Linked DNA regions of Canis lupus familiaris. The protein of the gene in region 3 interacts with the protein of the main gene of each other region in a biochemical or structural test. Links are inferred from orthologs where the notes say so. Each region holds a gene or a part of one and is shown on either strand. Other genes may lie near its edges.

The links. The genes of interacting proteins can lie anywhere in the genome.
Region 1: of the proteins of CDK2 (region 3) and H1-5, one has a biochemical effect on the other in vitro, tested with the Homo sapiens proteins (15 studies listed by BioGRID). The link is inferred for Canis lupus familiaris from reciprocal best matches to the Homo sapiens genes CDK2 and H1-5.
Region 2: the proteins of CDK2 (region 3) and SKP2 form a complex in vitro, tested with the Homo sapiens proteins (3 studies listed by BioGRID, with this or other methods). The link is inferred for Canis lupus familiaris from reciprocal best matches to the Homo sapiens genes CDK2 and SKP2.
Region 4: of the proteins of CDK2 (region 3) and WEE1, one has a biochemical effect on the other in vitro, tested with the Homo sapiens proteins (3 studies listed by BioGRID, with this or other methods). The link is inferred for Canis lupus familiaris from reciprocal best matches to the Homo sapiens genes CDK2 and WEE1.

What each region holds. Positions count from the first base shown.
Region 1 is NC_049256.1:26,525,924-26,529,342, forward strand, and holds H1-5 (histone H1.5), read right to left. Parts: upstream 2,130-3,419; 5' UTR 2,084-2,129; coding exon 1,403-2,083; 3' UTR 1,213-1,402; coding exon of another isoform or gene 772-1,212; 3' UTR 501-771; downstream 1-500. Other genes in the region: H2AC16 (histone H2A type 1-H-like), read left to right, coding at 772-1,212. UniProt on the Homo sapiens protein: Histone H1 protein binds to linker DNA between nucleosomes forming the macromolecular structure known as the chromatin fiber. Histones H1 are necessary for the condensation of nucleosome chains into higher-order structured fibers.
Region 2 is NC_049225.1:73,293,850-73,297,851, reverse strand, and holds the start of SKP2 (S-phase kinase-associated protein 2), read left to right. Parts: upstream 1-1,202; 5' UTR 1,203-1,425; coding exon 1,426-1,469; intron 1,470-1,958; coding exon 1,959-2,230; intron 2,231-4,002. UniProt on the Homo sapiens protein: Substrate recognition component of a SCF (SKP1-CUL1-F-box protein) E3 ubiquitin-protein ligase complex which mediates the ubiquitination and subsequent proteasomal degradation of target proteins involved in cell cycle progression, signal transduction and transcription.
Region 3 is NC_049231.1:651,315-655,313, forward strand, and holds the start of CDK2 (cyclin-dependent kinase 2), read left to right. Parts: upstream 1-1,199; 5' UTR 1,200-1,442; coding exon 1,443-1,558; intron 1,559-1,685; exon of another isoform or gene 1,686-1,831; intron 1,832-1,888; exon of another isoform or gene 1,889-2,092; coding exon of another isoform or gene 2,093-2,103; intron 2,104-2,273; coding exon 2,274-2,351; intron 2,352-2,454; coding exon 2,455-2,575; intron 2,576-3,261; coding exon 3,262-3,432; intron 3,433-3,928; coding exon 3,929-3,999. Other genes in the region: melanocyte protein PMEL precursor, read right to left, coding at 372-447. UniProt on the Homo sapiens protein: Serine/threonine-protein kinase involved in the control of the cell cycle; essential for meiosis, but dispensable for mitosis. Phosphorylates CABLES1, CTNNB1, CDK2AP2, ERCC6, NBN, USP37, p53/TP53, NPM1, CDK7, RB1, BRCA2, MYC, NPAT, EZH2.
Region 4 is NC_049242.1:33,444,164-33,448,392, forward strand, and holds the start of WEE1 (wee1-like protein kinase), read left to right. Parts: upstream 1-1,429; 5' UTR 1,430-1,497; coding exon 1,498-2,076; intron 2,077-3,528; coding exon 3,529-3,734; intron 3,735-4,229. UniProt on the Homo sapiens protein: Acts as a negative regulator of entry into mitosis (G2 to M transition) by protecting the nucleus from cytoplasmically activated cyclin B1-complexed CDK1 before the onset of mitosis by mediating phosphorylation of CDK1 on 'Tyr-15'.

The sequences.
Region 1 (3,419 bases), on a different chromosome or scaffold from region 3:
GAAGCTCTGACAATAAGATTTTCACTGCAAGTTCAGGGTTATTTTTCATTTTCACCTTAAATTTGCAGTTTTCTCAGTAATTAACTCCATGGATGACTCTTAGAATTTGGATGTTAAATGAAATATGCACAATAAAATTAATTTGGAGTGCTTGATGTTTGTAACTTAAAAAAAAAAAAAAAAAAAAGGCTAGATCCTATTGAAAACATACAAGGCCAAAATGTAACTCTGTGCAAAATTAGAGTGTGTACAAAAGCCTTCAGATGAAAATGTGCTTTTGCCTAACTCTAAGTCAGGGTAAAGGCAGTATTAGTTTTCTTTGGAAAGTGTGGATGGCTCTTAAAAAAAAAAAAAAGCCTTTGGGTGTCTGACGAATACCTTTTCCGCTGGCGGGCTCACTTGGACCTGGTGTACTTCTTAAACTTGACTGCTTTGACATGGTGGAAAATAACTAACCCTCCCCTCCCCAACACCTCCACTCCCCTCCAACAAAAGCCAAAAGGGGAAAGAATAACAGTTACTACGTGCAGTCTTTACTCACAGCCTCACGCGAAGGAGATTAAACTCTAGTGATTTGTGGTAAATTCTGGATAGCATCCTGTAGCTATCCAATCAAAATAAGGGTATTTGAAAACCAGAATTGCATTGGTTCTAATGAAAGTCGAAGTTCAGCCAATAGGACAGCTTCATTTTGGCGCCCAGTAAGGACTATAATAAATACTGAAACTTGGTCTCCATCTGTTCCGATCCAAGTCACTGTTGTCTGTCATCATGTCAGGTCGCGGGAAGCAGGGCGGCAAGGCTCGCGCCAAGGCCAAGACGCGCTCGTCGCGCGCCGGGCTCCAGTTCCCGGTGGGCCGCGTCCACCGCCTGCTCCGCAAGGGCAACTACGCGGAGCGGGTCGGGGCGGGCGCGCCGGTGTACCTGGCGGCCGTGCTGGAGTACCTGACGGCCGAGATCCTGGAGCTGGCGGGCAACGCGGCCCGCGACAACAAGAAGACGCGCATCATCCCGCGCCACCTGCAGCTGGCCATCCGCAACGACGAGGAGCTCAACAAGCTGCTGGGCCGCGTGACCATCGCGCAGGGCGGCGTCCTGCCCAACATCCAGGCCGTGCTGCTGCCAAGGCTAGGAGGAAAAGAATTAGACTTCTATAGTAAAAAACTCCCAAACCAAAATATTCCCTGGGAAACGGTGGGACCACAGTTGTAGTACCGAACCGTAGCACCGAACCAATTGGTTCGACCGCACACAGCGCAGGGTTTTCCAAAATGCCTTATATTAAGCTACATAACCATTACCAAGATTTGTGTCTAAGTGTACAGCTGTTTTTAAAAAAACCTGGGTGGCTCTGAAAAGAGCCTTTGGGGCTTTGTCGGCTTTTTCAAGGGGCAAAAACTTCCTACTTCTTTTTCGGGGCCGCCTTCTTGGCCTTGGCAGGTTTGGGCTTCGCGGCCTTTGGCTTCGCAGCCTTTGGCTTGGCGGCCTTGGGCTTCACCGCCTTGGGCTTGGCAGGACTCTTGGCCGCCTTCTTAGGCTTGGCAGACGTTTTAACTTTCTTAGGGCTCTTTGCTACTTTTTTGACACCGGCGGCTGCAGGCTTCTTGGCCTTCTTGGGGGTCTTCTTCACGGCTTTCTTCGCCCCCGCCGCTTTCTTGGGTTTCTTAGGAGTGGCCCCGGAGGGCTTCTTGGCTCTGGCCGCGCCCGCCTTCTTGGCCTTGGGCTTGGCCTCCCCGGAGGCCGCCTTCTTGTTGAGCTTGAAGGAGCCCGAGGCGCCGGTGCCCTTGGTCTGCACCAGGGTCCCCTTGCTCACCAGGCTCTTGAGGCCCAGCTTGATGCGGCTGTTGTTCTTCTCCACGTCGTAGCCGGCGGCCGCCAGCGCCTTCTTGAGCGCGGCCAAGGAGAGACCGTTGCGCTCCTTGGACGCGGCCACCGCCTTGGTGATGAGCTCGGACACCGGGGGCCCGGACGCCTTGCGCTTCGCAGCGCCACTGCCCGCTGCCTTCTTGGTGGCCTTCTTTTTGGCAGGTGACTTCTCCACCGGCGCCGGGACAGCCGTCTCAGCGGGAGCAGTTTCCGACATGGCCGAGAGCAGAAGCCGCTGCAGGAAGAGAACCGGAAAAACGAAAGAGCAGGTCTTGCAATGCTGCCTGACTCCGGCCAGGGGCTTATATAAGCCGGTGCTGCTCTGTGATTGGTGGAGCGTCCAATCCACTGCCCTCAGGCAGCCGCCCTTCGCGGTTGGACTCCCAAATTGTGTTTGTTAGCTCCCAAAATCTGATTAAATACTGAAAATTATTATACAGAATTTGACGTGTTGAAGCTCTCAAGGAAGAAAACAGTCTCTAGGTTCACATGCGGATTCGTGTTTTCATGAATCATGTACAACAGATGAAAGATTTTTCTTTTTAAATCTTTTCAGTTTTTCATAGGAATCCACTGGGTTTAAGGCATTATGGTAGTTAGTTCAAAGTTGCAGTAAGTTCTACTAAGTATCAAGTGGACATGTTAAAAAATGTCCCTAGGTCTGCACTTTGATTTTTGTAAGAGGAAAGACACAGGTTCTCGGTTTGGGAATAAACTGTAGTTAGTAACACAGAGGGAGGGCAGCAGCTTGCCTGCAGCCCCAAATTAACCACATAGATCCTCCTTCAAAAGCCAGTTCTGCCTCCTGGGAGTTTTCACACGCCCGATGTCTTTAGAGAATGTCTTTGGCTGTTTGGGAAAGTTTAGTAGCCAGAATGATATCTACCTTGCAGCAGGAGGAGGAGGAGGAATAGCTTTGGCTTGAGGATCCAATGACCTGAATTTGAATTAAAACTTAAATTTGATATGTTTTTTATTGAGATGCTTTCTACCTTTAGTATTAGGCAAATCCATTATAATAAATGGGAAAGATGCTTAGCACAGATAAAGTGCTGGAGGAAAACCTCAAACCTGCTGGAAGTATTCAAGGGCTTCAGGAGTCCTCAAAAACACAGACTGTAGGTGACATGGGACTCTGTCAGACTTCCAAGGTACTCTTCCCAATACTTCCCAATTCAAAGTCCTTATCTCCATCAATATGTAATAAAGTGCGCTGTCAGAAACACCTTTCTGTAATGTGAGCATTATTGTGTTATGAGCTAGGAGAGACCTTATTTAAGAGAAATAGGTGGCTACGGACTATGAGAAGACTGGATTGGCAATTGAAGGAATACAAGTTATAGACACTCAGAAGTAGTCAAGAATACAACATCCGGGAAGCTGGGTGGCTCAGTGGTTGAGCATCTGCCTTTGGCTCATGACGTGATCCTGGGATTGAGTCCTACATCAGGCTCCCCAGAGGGAGCCTGCTTCTCCCTCTGCCTAATTTTGCCTCTCTCTAGGTGTCTCTCATGAATAAATAAAATCTTAAAAAAAAAAAAAAAAAAAGAATA
Region 2 (4,002 bases), on a different chromosome or scaffold from region 3:
TTTTTTCACACTGGTTCTTGAAGGTATTGTCGTACTGCATGCTCAAGCAATACTCTATTTTTGTGATGACTTAGCAGAGGGCTCTGCTTACTTCTGAACTTGATCAATCCTCTCCTTTTTTTTTTTTTTTAATTTTTTTTAATTGAAGGTTGGAATTTATTCCCCTCTCCCTTCCACTGTTCTCCAGGGGTCACCGTTTGTGGATTTCGCACGGTCATCCGACCTGGAATGCGGCACACTCCCTGCTCTGGCCGCCCCCAGGCTCTCCCGGGCGGCGACAGGCTCGCAGCAGCTCGCCTTTCAGACGGCGACGCCGCCGGACGTCGTCGGCGGAGCGCGAGCAGCCCAGCGGCCCCGAGCGTGGCGCTCCACGGCCCTCACAGACCTACCGACCGTCCCCTTAGCTGTTCCCAAGCTCGTCTGGGCTGCCAGGGGGCTGCGCAGCTGTCCCACCGCACACCGTGGCAACCGCCGTGTTCTCCTGCTCCCCTAAAATTAAGCCACCGCCTCTCCTTCCAACCGCGCTTTAGTTTACAAAGCGCTTCCACAAGCGTAATCTGCCCCTCACGTCAGGCGTGTTCTCGGGAGGAACCTCGGAGCCGTAGTGCCTACAGAACAGGCACCTGGTGACCCGCAGTGCTAAGGGTCACTATCTCCCAGATGGAGGAAGCAGCTTCGCGGCGGCGGCGGCGGCGGCGGGGGGGGGGCGGGGGGGCGCAAGTGGGACGCCCGCGGCCCTCATCGTCTCACCTGGCCGGCGGACCGGGCTGCCGCCTCCACTCGGTGGCCGGGAACGAAGGCCCGCGGTGGCGGCGGCGGCGGCGGCTCGGGGTCTCCGAGGTCCTCTCGATCTCCGCCAGCGCCCGGCCTCAGACCGCAGACCCCACAGGGCTCACGCCCTCCCCATCAGGCCAGACAGCGTCCGCACAAGGACCGGGAACCCCGCGTCCGCCACAGCCGTCCCGGACCTGCGACCGGCGATCCGGGGCGACGGCGGTGACGACCACTAGAAAGGCCTGCAGGCTCCGGGGTAAGGAAAATCCGTCCCCAGTCAGGCGGCTGACATTTCCCAGGCAGCCGGAGCGCCGCCCACTTCCGCTTCCCCGCCTACCGCGTGGACGGCCCCGCCTCGCGGGCGCGGGGGCTTGTGGGTATCTCCGAGGCGGGTAAAGTCAGCCGAGGAAGGACGTCGCGCAGAGCCGGCGGGACTACGAGGCAAGACGGAAACTACAGTTCCCGGCAGGCAGCGGGGCGGCCGACGGCGGCGGCGGCGGCGGCGGAGGGCGAGTAGAAGAGCCCTCGCGCGCGCGGCGAGGATGGAACGTTGCTAGAGTTCGCGGGTCTCGCTGCTGGGGGTCGGAGCTGCACGCCTTGAGCCGCCGCGCGCCAAAGCGGGAATCCCGGAGGCGTGCAGTTCTGCAATTAATGCACGCGTTTAAAACTCCAGAAGCTGTGGACGCCATGCATAGGTAAACCGATTGCAAAAGGGGGCTGAGAGTGAATGAACCGCCTCAATTCTTTTAGGCCGCGAATATTGCTACGCGCTAATACTGTTGTGAATGTTGTAATTGAATCGTTGCTCAGCCCCTTCTTTGGGAAAGTGTGGGGGGCCGGATGCTTTAGTGCGGTGATCAGCGTGCGGTTTTTGCCTTCCCTTATTGAGCTTTCCTGCCGGTGTACGTTTGCCCCCCCCCCGTCCTCCCCCCCCCGCTTGTCTGTTCCCTCCACTTTAAGACATTCTTGAGGCCTTCTCCGTGATCGTAAATCAAAAAGCCTTTTTGATTTGTTCGGTTATTTTCTTTTTTTCCTTCTTGGAAACTCGCCGCCGGCACTTTAAAAAAAAATGCAATTCTTAAAGTTTTCTGCATTGCATAACTTAGAGTTTCATGTAGGCCTATCTTTGAATTATTTACGGGTGTGTTTTTGAAAGAAACCGGGGCTGTTGTGCATTTCTGCAGGAAACACCTCCAGGAGATTCCAGACCAGAGTAGCAACGTTACCACCAGCTTCACGTGGGGATGGGATTCTAGTAAGACTTCTGAACTGCTGTCGGGCATGGGGGTCTCTGCTCTGGAGAAGGAGGAGGTGGACAGTGAGAATATCCCCCAGGAACTGCTCTCAAATCTGGGCCACCCTCAGAGCCCGCCCCGAAAACGGCTGAAAAGCAAGGGGAATGACAAGGACTTTGTCATAGTCCGCAGGCCTAAGCTAAATCGAGACAGCTTTCCAGGTAAGGTATGAGGGTAAAACTGTCGGTCACTTAAGAAGTGGACTGAACTATTTATTGCTAATCTTTGTTAAGCGATCTTTAGGATGGCACGCTTTTAAAATTGCCTACTTCTGAAGTCGATTTCCAAAGCAATGGGACAACCCTTTGTCACTGAAATCTACAGGAATCTTGGTAGGTATATATTTTCCAGGTGCACAATTGACTTTTAACCCATGTGAAATTTTAACCCAGAAGATCTTCCTGCCTCCTTCCCTTTGAAGGGAATCTGCGTGTTCAAAGGCCAGCTCAGTGCCATTGTTAAATGGGAACATAAGCAATAATCTTGTAGGATTTTTGTTATTTATATTCCGTTGCTCTGTAGCTTCAGTTGAGTTTGTTGCCATAATTGCTTTAGTTATTTGTCAAAGGACTACTAACGTGAATGTTAAACTAGGAGTAGGGCCTTATATCCCTCGGACCTCCCAAGTGGGATTTTTCTGGTTTGATCTGTCTCCATTACTGCCCACATTATCTGTTCAGTCACCCAGCCAGAAACCTGAGGGCCAGTCCCTTCCCACCATCTTCCAGCCCCCAACCAATCATTGAATGTTTCCCTCTTGTCTCCTAGATGTTTTTCATACTCTCATTATCTCTTGCCTGAATATTGGCATGGACTCATAATTCCAGTCTTATCCTCCCCTGATCCATCCCCAGAGCTAGAGTGAACTGACTCAGATGTAGAACTCACCATATCATTTCCCCAGGCTTCTCAGACATGTCATTGAGTATCTCCCAGAGTGGATCAGAATCCGAAGAGTACAAAAGCCATAGGGTAAACACAGTGCAATGACTTAGGGTTATCAGTTTTTCTTGCCAGTAAGTCATTTAAAACATTAATCCAGCAAATATTTGCTGAGCACATGCTATGTGGGAGGCATCGTTCTATGTGTTGGGGATAAGGCAGGGAACAAAACATAAGCATTCCTGCTCTCATGAAGCTTCTGTTTGAGAGGGGGGATGCAATAAACATAATAAATGTGGTGTATAATATGTTAAGAAGGTGGTAAATACTGTGGCCAAAAACAAGTAGAGAACAAGCCAAGAGGGATTGGAAGTCCTGGGGTTGGAAGATGGTTTACAACTTTAAACCTCACTAAGAGATATTAAGGGATAGCCTCACTTAGACACAAGCTTTTTAAGCAAAAGCATACAGGAGGTGTGAGGAATGTGCCACGCAAATATCTTGGAGAAGAGGGCTCTAAGCAGAGGACAAAGGCAGTGCAAAGACCCTGGTGCAAAAACATGTCATGTTTGCTCAAGGAAGAAGGAAGCCATATGCAGACTGAGCAAAAGGGAGAGCAGTGGGAGATAGGGCTAGAGGTGGTGTTGAGCAGATTTGTGATGTCATCTGTTAAAAGGACACACTGATGTGTATGGATTAAACTATAGGGGGGTCACGCATAGAAGCTTAGAGATTTGTTAAAAGGATGGATTCTGACATTAGAGTTGACAGAATCAGGAGGCTATTGAAGTCGTCTGTAGAGGAGGCGATCGGACCCTAAACAGGAATTGGGTGGGTGATAGGGGAAGAATAAGAGGCAGATTAAAAGAAATTAAGATGAAGTCTTGCAGAGCCACGGTAATAAGTATATTCCTCAGTTCTCCCACCAGACTTTCTTTGAAGAAGGGTTGGTTGGTTGCTTTAAAAAAAAAAAACAAAACTATTGTTTCTGGGTTTTGACTTTTTCACTGGAAAAGAGAACCGGCAGGTTATGATCTGGAAATCTATATCA
Region 3 (3,999 bases):
CCACATTCTCTTACTCCTTTCTTTTAAATACCCTATCCCAAGTGCCTGAGTCATTCCCTAAGTCTTCCACTTATTTCCCTTTCAAAGCCCCTGCTCCAGCTCATTGCCCCGGGGGTGGGGTGGGGGTGTCTCAGAATTAGAGCCCCAAAGACCTACTATCCTTTTGCCCTTCCAAGCAGATGGGATTATTTTCAGGCTCAGTCCCAAATTTCCACCTAGAGAGGGACTTCAGATGCCCATGTCCTCGCTAAATCAAATGGGTGGAAGAAGCCTGAAATATTGCTGGTATCTCCCATGAGGAGGGAGAAAAATCAGAGCAGGTGTGCAACCCCAAACTCCCACTTGTTCATGTCCATACTCCCCACACTAACCTTCTGTGGCCCCCACAGCCAGAAGAACACCCATCACAGCCACATGGAGAAGGCATTTTCTCGGCACCAGATTCATCTTGTTCTTTCTTCCAGCAACCAAAGGCGCTGGGGGTGCTGGGACAAGCCCCTATATAGGAGAGGGGTGCTCATTTGCATAGCCCATCCTCCTTTCCCTCCTGGAGAGGCTTGGGAGGGGCAGGAGGGCCAGAGAAATAACTGAAAAGGGATCCTGGTCCCTGGACATCCCGCTACTCAATGACAGTTTCTGGTTTCACTGGGTCACGACCTTCTTGACCGGGGAAACATGGACTGCAGGGCAGCTAGCTACATCGTGTGTACTCGACGCCTGCAGTGCACCACAGGCTAAGGGGATCAATCTGGTTTTTGAGTCAAACCAGGAAACCTCTCAAACAGATGGAGACCCTGCATCTCCAAACAGAGAGATAGGATAGGATAGGCAGAGAGGGGCGCGAACGACGTGTCCAAGGCCCAGGACACCCATACGATGAGATTCCTAGCTTCCTGCTTTTCAAAGGCGGTTCCCTGGGCCAGGTGGAATTCAATCTTAGGGCAAGACACATTTTCTCTGGGGTTGGCGAATCAGAGGTCAGGAAATCCCTCCAGGCCCAGGACACAGGAAGGAAGCTCGACTCCAAATTGGGTACTTGGAAAAAGACGTTTATTTAGCTTCCCCAAGGTGACAAACTTGTATCGAAGACCCTCGGTAGTAACCTTGCGCGAGGTGGGGTCACTGGCGGCAGCGACGCGCTGGGCTCGCCCCCCCGCTCTGACGCTGGCCAATGGGAAGGGCCGGGGGCGGGGCCAGGGAAACGCGGGAAGGAGGGGCGGGGCCTCCACTGGCGGTAGGGAACCCGAGGGGAGGCGGCAACATTGTTTCAAGTTGGACAAATTGACAAGAGCGAGAGATACACTCCGTTCCATCCCGACCTGAGGCCGCGGAGCTGGGCCCTGTTTCCCCTCCTCCAGCCCCCGAGAGCCGGGGCCCGCCTTTTGCTGGGTTCCCAGGCCCCCGCTCCGGGGCCGGGCTGACCCGACTCTAGCGCTTGCTTCATGGAGAACTTCCAAAAAGTGGAAAAGATCGGAGAGGGCACGTACGGAGTTGTGTACAAAGCCAAAAACAAAGTGACGGGAGAAGTGGTGGCGCTTAAAAAAATCCGCCTGGACACGTGAGTGGCCTCTGTACCCGGGACTCCTCTAACTCCGGAGCTTCTTGAGTGCCCCCCGCCCCCACCCCGACAGGCGGGTAGCCGTCCGAGGACCGGAAGGTAGCAGGGTGGGACTTCTTTCGAAGTGGAGAGGTGGGCTGGAGGACAGTGAAGGGTTTCCCTGTGCAGAGTATAGGGCACTGTAGAGTCTGTGGGAAACTTTCTCCCCAAAGCCGAGTGATGCCCCCAAACGTGTAGTCCGAAAGACTCAGGAAGAGGAAGGAGGCCTCTGAGGTGGGGGTCCAAGACTCCCCGTGGAGTTGAGGTCTGTGGGAACCGGTGAAGAGCACCTTTCTGAATGAAGAGCCCTCCTCACTGCCCCAACCCCACCCTCCTCTTAGAATTCTCTACCCCTTTCAAAAGAATGGCAGTTGAACCTCACTGGCCCGTCTAGGGAGGCTGGGTGCTGCTACTCTTCTTTCCTCCCGTTACCTTCTCTCTTCTTCACCTCCACCAGAAGGCTTTACTTACCTACCCGTGGGAGAAGAAGAAATAATGACCTTAACGTATCCAAAAAGCACCCCCCTGTCCACCTGTGAATTAACTCCTACAGCCCCCTTTCTCTTCTGTCACTTTCCTAGGGTGTGCTGGGGTGGTGTCTCGTTCGGAGACTGGGCTGGGGGAAAAGCAGTATTTGTAACCACATTCCTCTCTCTGCTTTCTCAACCTCCCCAAGTGAGACGGAGGGTGTACCCAGTACTGCTATACGAGAGATCTCCCTGCTTAAGGAGCTTAACCACCCGAACATTGTCAAGTAAGTATGTGTCTGGGAGATATTTCAGCGGTAAAAGAGAATGTCTTCTGTGAGGCCGGGGCATCGCTCTTCCTCACCTCCATTCCTGGACCTCCCTCCCTAGGCTATTGGATGTCATCCACACAGAAAACAAACTCTACCTGGTTTTTGAATTTCTGCACCAGGATCTGAAGAAATTTATGGATGCTTCTGCTTTGACTGGCATTCCTCTTCCCCTCATCAAGGTAATCCTTCTCATCAACTCCTCCCCCAACATGGGCACGTTTTGGGGGGACTGAAGGCAGGCAATTCAGACTGGGTGATGATCTGTGATCTTAGCTTCCTTCCCAGCCCTCATCCCCCTACACACACACACACACACACACACACACACACACACACACACCTTTCTTTTGTGGCTCTTTCACTGCTCATTATGCTTATTAACCCCTGGGCAGGGCAGGAGAATCAAAGAAGTTGAAACTCTAGTGAGTCAACTTTGTAGCTCAGGTGGAAGGTCAGATGAAACTCAGATAAACGAGACTGGAGGGTACTTGGTACTTGGTAGATTCCTCCAAGAACCCCTTCCACTAGTTTGGTAGGAGAAATAGCCAGTGAGTCTCTGTTGTCTGTCTTAGGGCTGGGTTCTCTGCTCCCTGAGCTATTTTCAATCTATCAACAAACATTTATTCGGTGCTCATTTACTGAACACCTTCAATGTGCTAGGCACAGAATATGGAAAAGAGATGCAAAACTAAATAGGACCCAGTCCTTATCTTCACTAGACTAGCAGTCCAATGGGAGATACAGCTTATAAACATGCAATTATAATCTAATACAGTAAAAGGCTTTAGTACAGCTTTGCAGGCAGAGTGGAGCCTAATAGCTCACTGTGGTCGAGAAACAAAGTCCTCTCTCTCTCCTTCGTCAGAGCTATCTGTTCCAGCTGCTCCAGGGCCTAGCCTTCTGCCATTCTCATCGGGTTCTGCACCGAGACCTCAAACCTCAGAATCTGCTTATCAACGCAGAGGGGGCCATCAAGCTAGCAGACTTTGGATTAGCCAGAGCCTTTGGAGTCCCTGTTCGTACTTACACCCATGAGGTGAGACCCTGTCTGCACTTCTTCTCTGAACTTTCTGGGAGGTGTTAACAAGGACATTTACAAAATGACTAAACCTATCTGGCCAGCAGTTTCTCTCTCCCTAGATGAAAGTATCTCTGGCACCCCAGGAGGTTTTAGAGTATGCACTGAGTTCATATTGCGGGGCTAGCTGGGCTTCAGTAGGTACCAAGCCAGCAGAGCTGGATGGCATATCATTAAAATTATGACCACTTCTCTCAGGAGTTTTCCAGGAAGGTTGAAAGTTTTGGGTTCAGAAAATAGGGTCTTTGGAGCCACAGGCGAGGCTAACTCTGGTCTAAGAAGTTGTGTGTAATCACTTTACGCAGGGGAAGTCAGAAAGATGGGAAAAGAAAGATAGAGGGAGAGAAGCTGCTTGTGATCAGGCTGAGAACTAGCAGAGTAACACCGAGGAGCTGACATGTGGGAATCACTGTGCCCCATGCACCACCTCTCCCCTTCTTGCTCTTGTTCCCAGGTGGTGACCCTGTGGTACCGAGCACCTGAAATCCTTCTGGGCTGCAAGTACTACTCCACAGCCGTAGATAT
Region 4 (4,229 bases), on a different chromosome or scaffold from region 3:
ACTGCTAATGAGAGTTTAAATTGTTTTTCTCTGGAGGTCGGTTTGGCAGTTCCTATCCTTTGACCCAATCATTCTCACTTCTATGAGTCTATCTTAAAAAAAAAAAAAAAAAAAAAAAAAAAACCCCCAGTCCTCAAACAACACAGACCCCCCACCAAAAAAAAAAAAAACAACCAACCAACCACACGAGAAGTTAGAATTTTTGCGATGGGGTTATTTACAACTGAAAAATTCCAAGAAACTTGTGTGTGCGACGATAAAGGGCAGACGAAATCACAATTTGACGAAGTACTGGAGGTATTTTTTCTCAACTTGCGTTTAAGTTTGCAGTGAGGTGGGCCAATCTCCTTTGCCAACACTTGCCCACGTGCTGGCAAACAAATATAAACACCGCGGCGGCGTGGAGGGCCCGGGCTTCGGGCTTCGCGCTGGGGCCGCTGCTGTTTACTCGGGTGGACGAGTCTCGGGTGGGCTGCCGAGGGGGCCACGGCCTGGGGGAAGCAAGCTCGCCTCGCTGGGGGCCTACCCGACCCTGCAGCTACCCTGGGGGGAAACCGAGGCTCCGGAGGCCTTCCCCACGGCCGCCGTCCCCGCCTCGAGCCCTCCCGGGCCGGCCTCCTTGCTGACTTCGGCGTCGCCTCTAAGCCCCGGGCTCAGCTCGCAAAGTTCCTGAGGCCCGAGTCGCCACTTCCGGCTCCAACCTCTACGGGGGAACGAGACTGCCCACAGCCACGCCCACAACGCCCCGGCCGCCCGCACCACGGGGACGCGGCGGCCACAGGCCGCACTCCCGGGGCAGAGCGCGAGAGCCGCGGGAGTTCCCAGGTCCCACCTCAGGCCCCGGAGCGCTGAGGGACCGCGAGCGGGCCACCTCCAGGCGGGGTGCGGCTGGGCCTAGCCGAGCCCGGGACCTTTCGCCCCTCCCAGAGGGCCGCCTCGGCTCCCCCGCCCGGCCCCGACCGGGCGGCGCCGGGCTAGGCTCCCAGAAGTCCGGCTCCCTCATAGGCCCGCGGCGCCGCGCCGCGCCCGCCCGAACGGCCGAGGGGGGGGGGGGGGGGCGGAGCCAGCGGGTTCGCGCCAAAATCGCGTAGTTGATCCCTCCCCCGCGGCCTACGTCGCGCCCTCCTTTTTTTTCAAACCCGAGGCTGGGCGTGGATTGGTGGGTCAGGCCCTCACGTGGTTAACGGTCGCGGGAAGCCGCGGAGCCCGAACCTGCGGAGCCCGGACCTGCGGCTGGACCTGCGGAGACCCCAGCCTCGGTGCCCAGGCCGCCCCGCCTCTGCTGGACAGGCCGCGCCGCTGCCGCCACCGCCGCCGCCGCCGCCGCCGCCCGCAGCCCCGAGCGCTCCGGAGCCGCACCCCGTCACCGCGCAGGTCCGCCGCCGCGGCGACCCGGCGCGCCCAGTCGCACGTGGCGGACCCGCCCCCTGGGCCGTCCGCGTCCTGGACTCCGCGGGCTCCGGCTCTCCGGTCCTCGGCCCCGGCCCCAGGGGCGCGATGAGCTTCCTGAGCCGGCAACAGCCGCCGCCGCCCCGCCGCCGTCCCGGGGCTTCCTGCACTTTGAGGCAGAAGCTGATCTTCTCGCCCTGCAGCGACTGTGAGGAGGAGGAGGAGGAGGAAGAGGAGGAGGGCAGCGGCCACAGCACGGGGGAGGACTCGGCCTTCCAAGAGCCCGACTCGCCGCTGCCGCCCGCGCGTAGCCCCACAGAGCCCGGGCCCGAGCGCCGCCGCTCGCCGGGCCCGGCCCCCGGCAGCCCCGGGGAGCTGGAGGAGGACATGTTGCTGCGGGGCGCCTGTCCCGGCGCCGACGCGCCGGGCGGCGGGGCCGAGGGCGACTCGTGGGAGGAGGAGGGCTTCGGCTCCTCGTCGCCGGTCAAGTCGCCGGCAGCCGCCTACTTTCTGGGCAGCTCGTTCTCGCCGGTGCGCTGCGGCGGCGCGGGGGACGCGTCCCCGCGCGGCTGCGGGGCGCGCAGGGCCAGCGAGGGCCCCTGCTCGCCGCTGCCGGACCACCCCGGCACCCCGCCGCACAAGACCTTCCGCAAGCTGCGGCTCTTCGACACGCCGCACACGCCCAAGGTGAGAGGACGCGGGGCCGGGGCACCGCGAGCCCGCGCCCGCCCAGCCATTTAAAAAGGCCGCGGCGCCGGGAGCCGAGCGCGCCGCTGCTCGGGTTCGGTTACATAACCGCCCTGCCGCACCCCTACTCGCTCCCCTGAGCCGCAACAAAAAGTTGGCAGCCCCTCTTTTTGGCCCTGCCCAGAAGTTGTCCGTTAAGATTATGTAACTGAACAATGGGCCTCTTCTGGAACTTCTTCATCTTTCAAAGGGGCTGATCGGCGCCGTCCAGGTGGCTGATGATTTCACGCCCCTCGAGTCGGGGCCTTCCCGACCGTGTCAGCCCGGAGTGTGGCCCTGATAACGTGGTTTGGAAGGATGTCGGAGTGGTGCTGGCCCGGCCACCTGACACTCCCGAGCGCCGCAGCCATATGGTGCCTTTTAAACGCCGTGATGGGCCCTGTAATTTGGGCGGCGCAAGCAGGAGTTGGGTTAAAAGAAATTTCATGCGCTTATCGCTTCGTGTCATGTGGCCTTAAGGGGTTAAGTTTGAGGTATGGAGGGAGAGTGCGCTTCGACTTGGGAGAAAAGGCTGGCTTTCCAAGCATTTCCAGTCCTAAAGACTCCTTAATTCAGGGTAGCGTTTAAGCTTCTATCCGCACATGCTATTTATTATTGGGTAAGCGTTTGTTTACACCGGTTTGCAGTGCCTATGTGTGGCCAGCCTAAGTGTAGCGATTAGGGACATCCGTTAAAAGCCAGCATTGGTGGGGTTGCTTGGACCCTTGTGGTTTCATATCGCTGATAACCTATCGTGATGATGAAGGTGTTCAGCACTTGTTTGTTGAGTAGCGAGTGAATATGCAGATTACTGCCTCTGGAACATTGGAAGTAACAGCAGATTTTAAAACGGACCCTTCAACGACATTGAGACAAGTATCGCGTTTATAAGACTAATATGGAAAATGTACTTTTCTGAGTCCCTTGCAGTGCCTTTGGTCGTAAACCTCAGGAAGAAGTAGTTTTTGAGCGTTACTGTTTATCAGGGACTTGCCCAAGGCATGATCCCTCTGAATGTGAGGGGAGGAGTCCGGCGGAGGTGGTTTTCAAAGCCCTATTTGGAAGGGGGGAAGGGAGCTTTTATTGGGATCCTTGACTGCTTTCTATTTTTAGATGGAATGAGAGGTTTTGTTAACTTTTAGACTGCAGAATAAACTTAATTTTAGTCTGCATTCCTATTCTTTTTTAGGGTCGGAAACTTATTTTATGTGGCAGTCTTTTTCAGGAAAAGTTGTTAGTATCCACCTTTCAGACTGCTGAAGTTAACCAGGGTTTGTTTTGCTTCAGATGTGACAGAAGCTTGTGTGTTGCTTTAATCCACACTATCAGACATGTGAAAGGCTTGTTGAAGGTTGGGTTGAGAAGGCTGTCTACAGGATTTAGAGACTAAAAATTTTATTTTTCCTGACCTAGAGTTTACTCTCCAAAGCTCGAGGAATCGATTCCAGCTCTGTTAAACTCCGAGGTGGTTCTTTATTCATGGATACAGAAAAATCAGGAAAAAGGGAATTTGACATGCGACAGACGCCTCAAGTGAATATTAATCCTTTTACCCCAGATTCTGTGTTACTTCATTCCTCAGGACAGTGTCGTAGAAGAAAACGAACACACTGGAATGAGTAAGTTATTTAGTATTCCACAGTTTGGTCCCCAGTCACCCAAGATTGGTTTGTGGTACTTATCAAACTTTAATTTTATCTGAATGACTTGGAAGTTTATGCTTTGAATTTTTTTTTTTTTTTTTTTTGTTAACTAGCACCCTCTTCCCAGGAAAGGTGGGTGGAAAGTAATCAGCTATGGAAAAGTAACGGTATGAAAAAGGAAGGAATAAAAAGCCTAAGTAGTTTGTAGAAAATCTGCTGGTGTCAAAAACAAGGCAGGCAGAGTTGATTTAGAAAAACTTTAATTTTGATACGTGTGATTGTGTTGGCTTGTTAATGAGCCTATTTCAGCAGGGACAGCATTTCCATCAGCTGAGCTATATCTTATGATTATAAAATTATGTGCTTGCTTGTCTGTTTTTATTCGTTTTACTTATTTATTTTTTCTGTTTTTATTTATTAAAATACAATTTCACTGTATATCAGATAAAGTTTTGGATCGCTAGTTGATGT